Linked DNA regions of Xenopus tropicalis. The protein of the gene in region 2 interacts with the protein of the main gene of each other region in a pairwise test. Links are inferred from orthologs where the notes say so. Each region holds a gene or a part of one and is shown on either strand. Other genes may lie near its edges.

Region 1 (3,657 bases), on a different chromosome or scaffold from region 2:
AAATCACAGCAATATTCTCCTCCCTTGCAGTGATTTGTCGTGTACGCTTCCCCATCTTTACTTCTGAGAAATTCTCTGGGATCCACTCTTTTTATTCCCAATCATGGTACTGACCTCTTGCCAATTCTTGAGATGTTTAGATTGTAAGCTCTATGGGACAGGGACCTCCATCCTCTTCTCTCTTTGATTCTTAAGTTACTGCAACTGTACCTTGTATTAATTTGTAATTATTGTTATACTTTGTATTTATCTATTATTATTTTAATAACCCCCTGTAGTATTAACCCAGTGATCCCCAACCAGTGGCTTAGTAGTTGGTGCTCCCCAACCCCTTGGATGTTGCTCCCAGTTGCCTCAAAGCAGGTGCTCATTTTTGAATTTTTGGTTAGAAGGCAAACTTTGATTGCATAAAAACCCAGTGTAATTGCCAAAAAGAGCCTTCTGTAGGCTGCTAGTCAACATAGGGTCTTATCAGTTAGCCATTTATAGCTCTCATTGGCACCTCCAGGAACTTTTTTCATGCTTGTGTTGCTCTCCAAAAGTTTTTCCATTTGAATATGGCTTACGGGTATAAAAGTTTGGGGATCCCTGTATTAACCCATTGTTCTGCTGTACAGCGATGCATACAAGTAAGTAGCGCTTTATAAATAAAGATATACATACATGTTTTACCAGGTGTTTTTTTTTTTTAACATTACACAATTTTCTGGTGTTGCTAGCATCAAATTCAAAACAAGCATATACTGTATACTATATTATATTTTTCAGAAAAATAATTCTGTTTCAACATTTGGTATGTTGTCTTCGTACTATCTGCAGTTTAAAACTGGGTTTAAATGAAAATCATCCCATTTTCCTTTTATTTATATTTTACACAGTATATTTTTTATCTTTTTTTTATCTAGTGCAGGCATTTAAGCAGCAACAGAAATGGCTTAAAGGGGATGTGCACTAATATATTCAACTCTAGTTTTAAAGGATTTGGCCAAAAAAGAAACACTACTGAAAAAAAACAAAACACTTTTACGTTTGTTAGCAATTTTCCTTTAGTACGCTGGTTGCTTTTTGAAATACAGATATATATTCTGTTCCAATAAAGACTTTTAGAAGGCCACTATAAAAAGATTTCCGCAGCAATTCAAATTTTTATAAAATGCTGTAAAATGTTCAACAAGTTTTACCACAGGTTGTAACAGTTTAAGTCACATCTGCACTCTGCACTGTAGGGCCAATGTAAAAGATAGGCAACAAGACTAATTATGAAAGAATGAGTTATAATGCAGTCATTTGAGGCAAAGCCTATCATTTAGCAGTGCTCAGGCTACATATTTACCAGTGGAGACATAATTAACAAAAACATGTATTTACAAGAGCAATAAAAACTTTTTTTTACTTCAATTTTTACCCCAGCACAATGAAGGAAGAATTTTTGTATTATTAAAATGAATAAAGACTGATATAAGACTGGGTAAGACTGGGCTACTACCTAAAATTATGTTATATATATATATATATATATATATATATATATATATATTCTACAATGTACAAGTTCTTATCTTGTTGCCCATAAATTCAGGACTAAATGCTACAGAACTATAATCTCAGAAAGTTAACTCTTCCCTTTTCTTTTCTATATGCTGGGCAATATGATGAACAAATGTTATTAATATAAATATATTTGTATCACTATATGTCACATTATATATATATATATATATATATATATATATATATATATATATATATATATATATATATATATTAATATATATTAATAAATTCTGGATGCAATGGAAGGAGAGGAAATGAAGAAGATAATTCCTAAACAAACAAATCCAGGCAATTCTCCACACTCTTGCTGCATGGCTGAGAGGAGGTAGATGCTTGAACCTTGCATTGCTCTAAAAAGCTGTCACTCCAATTCCCTTATTAATATTCTGAGGTTGGGAGCCTTTCCGTAAAAACATAATTAATTGAGGCCGCAGCGACAGTAAACAAGCAATTTCAAATTAAACCGAAATGACGGCGCCTTCATTTGCAAATGTGAACAGATTTTGCGAGCAGATAAATGAAGTCACCATATAAAAGGGAAGAGACGAATACTGAAGGAGCAGGAGGAGGGGAAGAGGGGGGGCTGTGTGTGTGTGAAGAAGGGTGAAATGGAGTCGTTAATCTTTACCTGTCTGTGTCACACTGCCACTCATCTCAGACACCCCAGACTCAATACGCTGCAGCTGCTTGCGGCTTTCCCTGCCACCAATGATCAATGGGAGCAGGTATCTCTGTAAAAGGTAAGAAAACTAGAAGTCATGGAACTGAGCAGGCCGCTGCCATTCAAACACCACTTTTAGGTTTTATGGGTATTTTTTACTCAAGAATTATTCTCTTGTCTTAATCTACTAAAAAACAATTAAACATTTTAAAAGACCTATAGGACTGCTTTGCAACCGACATGGATTTATGCAGCTTCGTTAACATCAAAGAAAAGGTCGTTTTGTTTATTACAGAGAAAGTAATTTAAAAATATATTAAAAACAAAAAATATTTTAAACTGGATCCAGCGACCTTTTACAACCCAGAGCATATTAGAAGTATGCAAGTATTAGATGACCTGGGTCTCGGTGTATTATGTAATTTAATGTTTTTATATGCGGTAAGAGTGTCAGTCCTCTCTGGCTTAAAAATAAAGTTTGAACAGTAATAACTTAATAGCATGTTAAATAGCTATTTAAAAGCATGTTAAATTTCTGTTTTCTGTGTTTTTAGCTGAAAACTTCATAACCCAACCTGCCTGCTAAACAATGAATCTGAAAGTACTAAAATTCAGTTTCCTAAAACTGCTTTACATGCAACAACTGATCCCATTTTTTTTTCAGTATATCAGAATTGAAACAATACAGGTTGAAAGTATGGCTCCATTAATAAAAATGGAAATATTTTATTATTATATGTTACAATGGTCTCTTGAAAAAGCAAATGTGCTTAACCAGTTCTTTTCTTCACTTCTTTCCACTCATCACATACAGCTCTTCTCAAACAAGTCAGCGGTGACACAGGAAATGGTATTAAACCTTAGCAAAGTAATGTGGAAGGCCTCCTGCCCTGAAGGATTACACCCTTGAATATTTATAGAGACTCTAGTTTGCTTTTAGCCAGGTCTTTTTCTCAGACTCCTTTTCATATTGCATGGTACAAAAAGATTTGAGAAAGAAGATGCATTTCCAATATTTAAAAAGAAATTATAATTTCAACCCACATCTGTTGTTGGCAAACAGTTTTTAAAGTAGCATTGTCACAAACGCCACCACAGATGTAAGTGACCAGGTGGGCGGCTGTATGGGTTAACACATCAACTACACAGTTTCTCGCTAACTCATGCAATCAACCCCAAACAGCCCCAACCCGCCGAACTTAAAAATTGCCACCACAGTGTTTTCAGGCCGCAAGCACCCCTCCAGTCTAGATGTTCTATTGGACACTGATGCTTCACAGAGGCAAATCACCCTAGGCCTTCTAACTCTAACTAAGCACTCTAGCAGACACCCCAGCAGACAATGCAAGTTAGTCTACAGACAACACACAACTTTTCTGCAAGCAAACAAAGGGTTAAGCAGACACACTTTCCTTCTAACTAGCAAGGGGTTAAAACACATT
Region 2 (4,083 bases):
ACTGAATGCCTAAAAAGATACAAAGTCAAAGGCATTTGGCAGAGAGCCCTGAATACTCAACACCTGCACTTAGATACAATTGTAACTAATAAGATAAACAGATCTCTTGGGGGAACGGAGACTTGCATCTTTAAGGGCATTTCATTAACACTGTAATAACATATGAAACAAAATCTCAAGAAAAGTGTTCAAATGGGCAGCATTTCTTTTTGCTCCTCTTTGCATTTGTCCAATGTTGGGGGGTATGTTTTATAGAGACCTACATTGTTTAGCCAGGGTTTTTTTCCTCAAATATTTTATGACTTTGCACTGCTCCTGAAAAGAATATACATGTCTTGTTAACTCACAGCAGGAGGGACAGTGAGTGTGAGTGAGAGAGTGTGTGAGTGTGTGAGTGTGTGAGTGTGAGTGTGTGAGTGTGTGAGTGAGTGTGTGAGTGAGTGTGTGAGTGAGTGTGTGAGTGTGTGTGAGTGAGTGAGTGAGTGTGTGTGAGTGTGTGAGTGTGAGTGTGTAACTCACTCACAGTCCTGCTCATTTCTATAATCAATTAAATACACCAGAATATATTTGCCAAAAAGAAAAATCTTACCTTTGTCCTCACAGAAACTGCTCACTAAGGGCACAGAAGACTTACAAATCCGACAATTCTAATTAATTTCAGATACCTTTTAAAAGGTAAAAACAGAAAGAGAAGCAGTGTGTCAGACACACGTGTTTCAGACTTGCCTCTCCTGTACCGACACTCGGCAGAAGTGGCCTCTACAGTGTGGCCTATTTAATAACCAGGCCTAGTCTCTGTTATTTCTCTCCAAATATAACAGACAGACAGTGGTATCTAGTTAAAAACAAAAGTAAAACTATAGGTGTGTAAATAAACGGAACGCAAAACAGGTTTATTGCGACTGGGGGCTGAGATATTGTTGCGCACCTATCGTTCCAGACTTTATGAATCAAATGCCGATGCCGCTGGATAACCCAGAGCCCTCTGCTGGCTGGGGGACATGTTATGCACATGCTATTCAGGAAGCACAAATAGAGTTACATTTAAGTCATTAAAATATAGCAACTTGATAATTCTCATCTGGCCGGTACATAATGCTAATGTTACTACCGGTAGTTTGTATACTAAGCTGCACTCGGCTATCTATAAACAGTCCTTTTCTACACAGGCACATCGGCCGCTTCACCCCATGGTTCGATGCATCGGCGGTTGATTAATGTTCAGCTGGCTGCTCGGTGCATAGGGCTGCCTTCGCTACGGACCTGCAACCGAGCAGGATGGCGTCTCAGCCTCCTCCGCCTAAGCCATGGGAGAGCAGAAGGGTGCTAGGCGGCCTCCCGGCCCCGTCCTACCAGTAAGCGTGATAATGCTTGGGGCTAGTGTAAGGCCGCAGATCTGGGCAATAGGAAGGGTGTGTAGGCCAGTGGGACTGAAGTCCAAGGAAAAGCAACTTGTGTCAAAGCTGATGTAAAAGCGAGAAGTTAGAAACACAGAGTTGCCTTTATATTGGGTTACAGCTGCACAGTGTTGCCAGTGTGTATATCGGGTATTTGCAATGTGCAACGCCACAACTATAGTGCTGCAGGATGGACTGTTCTTATTCTCCACCCAGTAGGATGGCTCAGCTTCCCAGCATTTCTAGGGGCAGCGCAGACTGACTATTATAGTACTCTCATGGTGCTAAACCCGGGCAGCTCTCATTAGTCCACCTGAGTGCAAGGAACACTAATAGAAGCAAATGCCAGATTGGTTGCTGTAGGACAGAGAGATCCCCAACCAGTGGCTCGGAGGGCAACATGTTGCTAGCCAACCCCTTGGATGTTGCTCCCATGTGTGCCCTCAAAGTAGGTGCCATCTTTGCATTTCTGGCTTGGAGGCAAGATTTGGAAGGCAAGAGACACAGATTTACCCCAAGCAGAGCCTGCTGCAGGCCACATGAGGCTACCAAATAGCCAATCACATCCCATATTTGGCATCCCCAAGGAACTTTTGGCTGGCTCTGGGCTGGAGATCCCATATGTCTTTTATTATCAGCTCCCATCAGACAGCCAGAGCCTGGAGTTTTCTACTAAAGTAGGAATAGTTCTAAACTCCCAGCAGTTTTTATTAGTCCTCTTGACTGGGCAAGTGCATGTAACACCAGCGGAAGCAAATGCAAGACTGGCTGCAGTGGAGTGTGCAGTTTTACTTCAGTTTTGTTGCACTATAACCTGGCTGTGCAACAGCTCTCATCATCCTCTGATAGCTAGACCCTGGGGTTTGTAGTTCAGTAACAGCTGTTGGGCCTTCACTTAGTTTAAAATATCAATATGTGAGCCTTAATTTGTATTTGTAAATATCTGTGCAAAAACCCCAATTGATTAGCTGATTCAAGCTAGAATGTCAGACTAGCCCCCGTTAGCACTATGTCTCCCAGCACCTTAAGGTGCCTAAGGAGCTGGCATGTAATGTATCGAGGGCTTCTTAACCTATGAAAGGTTTCATTGGTAGCAGTGCTGTAAGGGTTTTGTTATAGCAGAATGCCTCTTGTACGGCACGCACTGCTTGTGACAGTGTTTATGATTAGAGGTAATAGGACTCAACTCAAGGAAGTCCAAAGGGTTTGTTTATTATGTTTGTATGACTCCACAGTTTGCCTCGAGAGATTAAGGAACACTGATCCGTGCATATTCCTTTATTAATCCATATTAATCCATATTGTGTCATATATTAGACGTCACAAAGACATTTAATCACCGTGTAAACTCTGCAGTTAATTTTAATACTCTAGTCTAGTGTTTAAAAGTAGGGGATAAAACTTTCAGGGAGTTGAAACAATTGTGACATCATTATGAGGCAGATTTATTAACATTTGAATTAGAGTTTTTACCGTGATTCGACTGTTTTTTTAAAATCACAAACTCAAATTAGTTTCCAAAACTGGAATGTTAAATATTTAATTAAGTCAAAAAAACTTGCAAAAAAAAAAGTCTAGCAAACTAGGCTAACTAGCAAATCCATGCAGGAGTCTATGGGAGTTGTCTTTGCTAAGTTTTTCAACATTTTTCAAGTCAATTTTTTTTTAAAGTTGGCAGATACATTTAAAAATTGAGTAGAATGCAATTTTGCTACATTCATGTTTTAAAGTTTTTTCTAATTACGTTTTTTTTTTAAATTTGATCTCAACTAAGATATAATTAATCCTTATTAGAGGCAAAACCTATTGGGTTAATTTAATGTTTAAATGATTTTTTAGTAGACTTGAGGTTTGGAAATCCAAATTACAGAAAGACCCCTTATCCAGAAAACCTAAGGTTCTGAGCATTCTGGATAACAGATCCCATACCTGTAATACAAATATTTTAATGGTTAATGTGATACTAGTCACCATAGAATTTATATTACAGGTTATTTGCTACTTTTGCTATTATTATGGGGGTAAAACACCAGATTTATTTTTTTTAAAAAAGCTCTTTGAAGCCAAAACCATGATTTTCCTTGCACTGTGTTTACATATGTGCTTTTCTGTTTGTAGACTGTTAACCCCCCATGTGCACACACACAGGCATTCTGGTCTGTTGTTTACTATTTTTAAAAAAAAGCTAAGGTCACACTGGAGAACATACCTTTGGAGATAAGAGGGGGTACTGTAGTTAAAGCTGGCCATATGCTGAAAGATTCACGGGTTTGGCAAAGTCAGTAAATGGTAGGATCTTTTCCTGATATGCCCACCTTGAGGTAGCTGATATTGTATTGGTCACATTGATGGAATGGATGGGTGTGGACCACATCAACAAGCTAACACGCTCCTCGCACCAACTGAATTTTTAAACCTGCCCAATGAACATCTGGGCAATTTTCAGCCAGGTATCCATTGGGTAGGCCAATCAGAGGGCCCTGCACTCATTCGGCAGCTTTTATTGGACCCCTGACTTGCCTTTAGGCACAGTGCACCAGGGCAAGTAACCTGCAGCAACTAATACACAGGTAGCATTTACTAAATACTAGTTTAGAAGTAATTATCTAAAGAAGATAGAAAAGACAAGCTATGCAACATGTCACACAAGCCAAATCCCATTGCAATAATCACTTTTAGATGTGTT

Evidence for each region. The genes of interacting proteins can lie anywhere in the genome.
Region 1: the proteins of pex13 (region 2) and pex14 interact in a two-hybrid assay, tested with the Homo sapiens proteins (2 studies listed by BioGRID and IntAct, with this or other methods). The link is inferred for Xenopus tropicalis from reciprocal best matches to the Homo sapiens genes PEX13 and PEX14.

What each region holds. Positions count from the first base shown.
Region 1 is NC_030683.2:64,165,904-64,169,560, reverse strand, and holds part of pex14 (peroxisomal membrane protein PEX14), read right to left. Parts: intron 2,286-3,657; coding exon 2,183-2,285; intron 1-2,182. UniProt on the Homo sapiens protein: Component of the PEX13-PEX14 docking complex, a translocon channel that specifically mediates the import of peroxisomal cargo proteins bound to PEX5 receptor.
Region 2 is NC_030681.2:33,784,102-33,788,184, reverse strand, and holds the start of pex13 (peroxisome biogenesis factor 13), read left to right. Parts: upstream 1-1,179; 5' UTR 1,180-1,278; coding exon 1,279-1,355; intron 1,356-4,083. UniProt on the Homo sapiens protein: Component of the PEX13-PEX14 docking complex, a translocon channel that specifically mediates the import of peroxisomal cargo proteins bound to PEX5 receptor.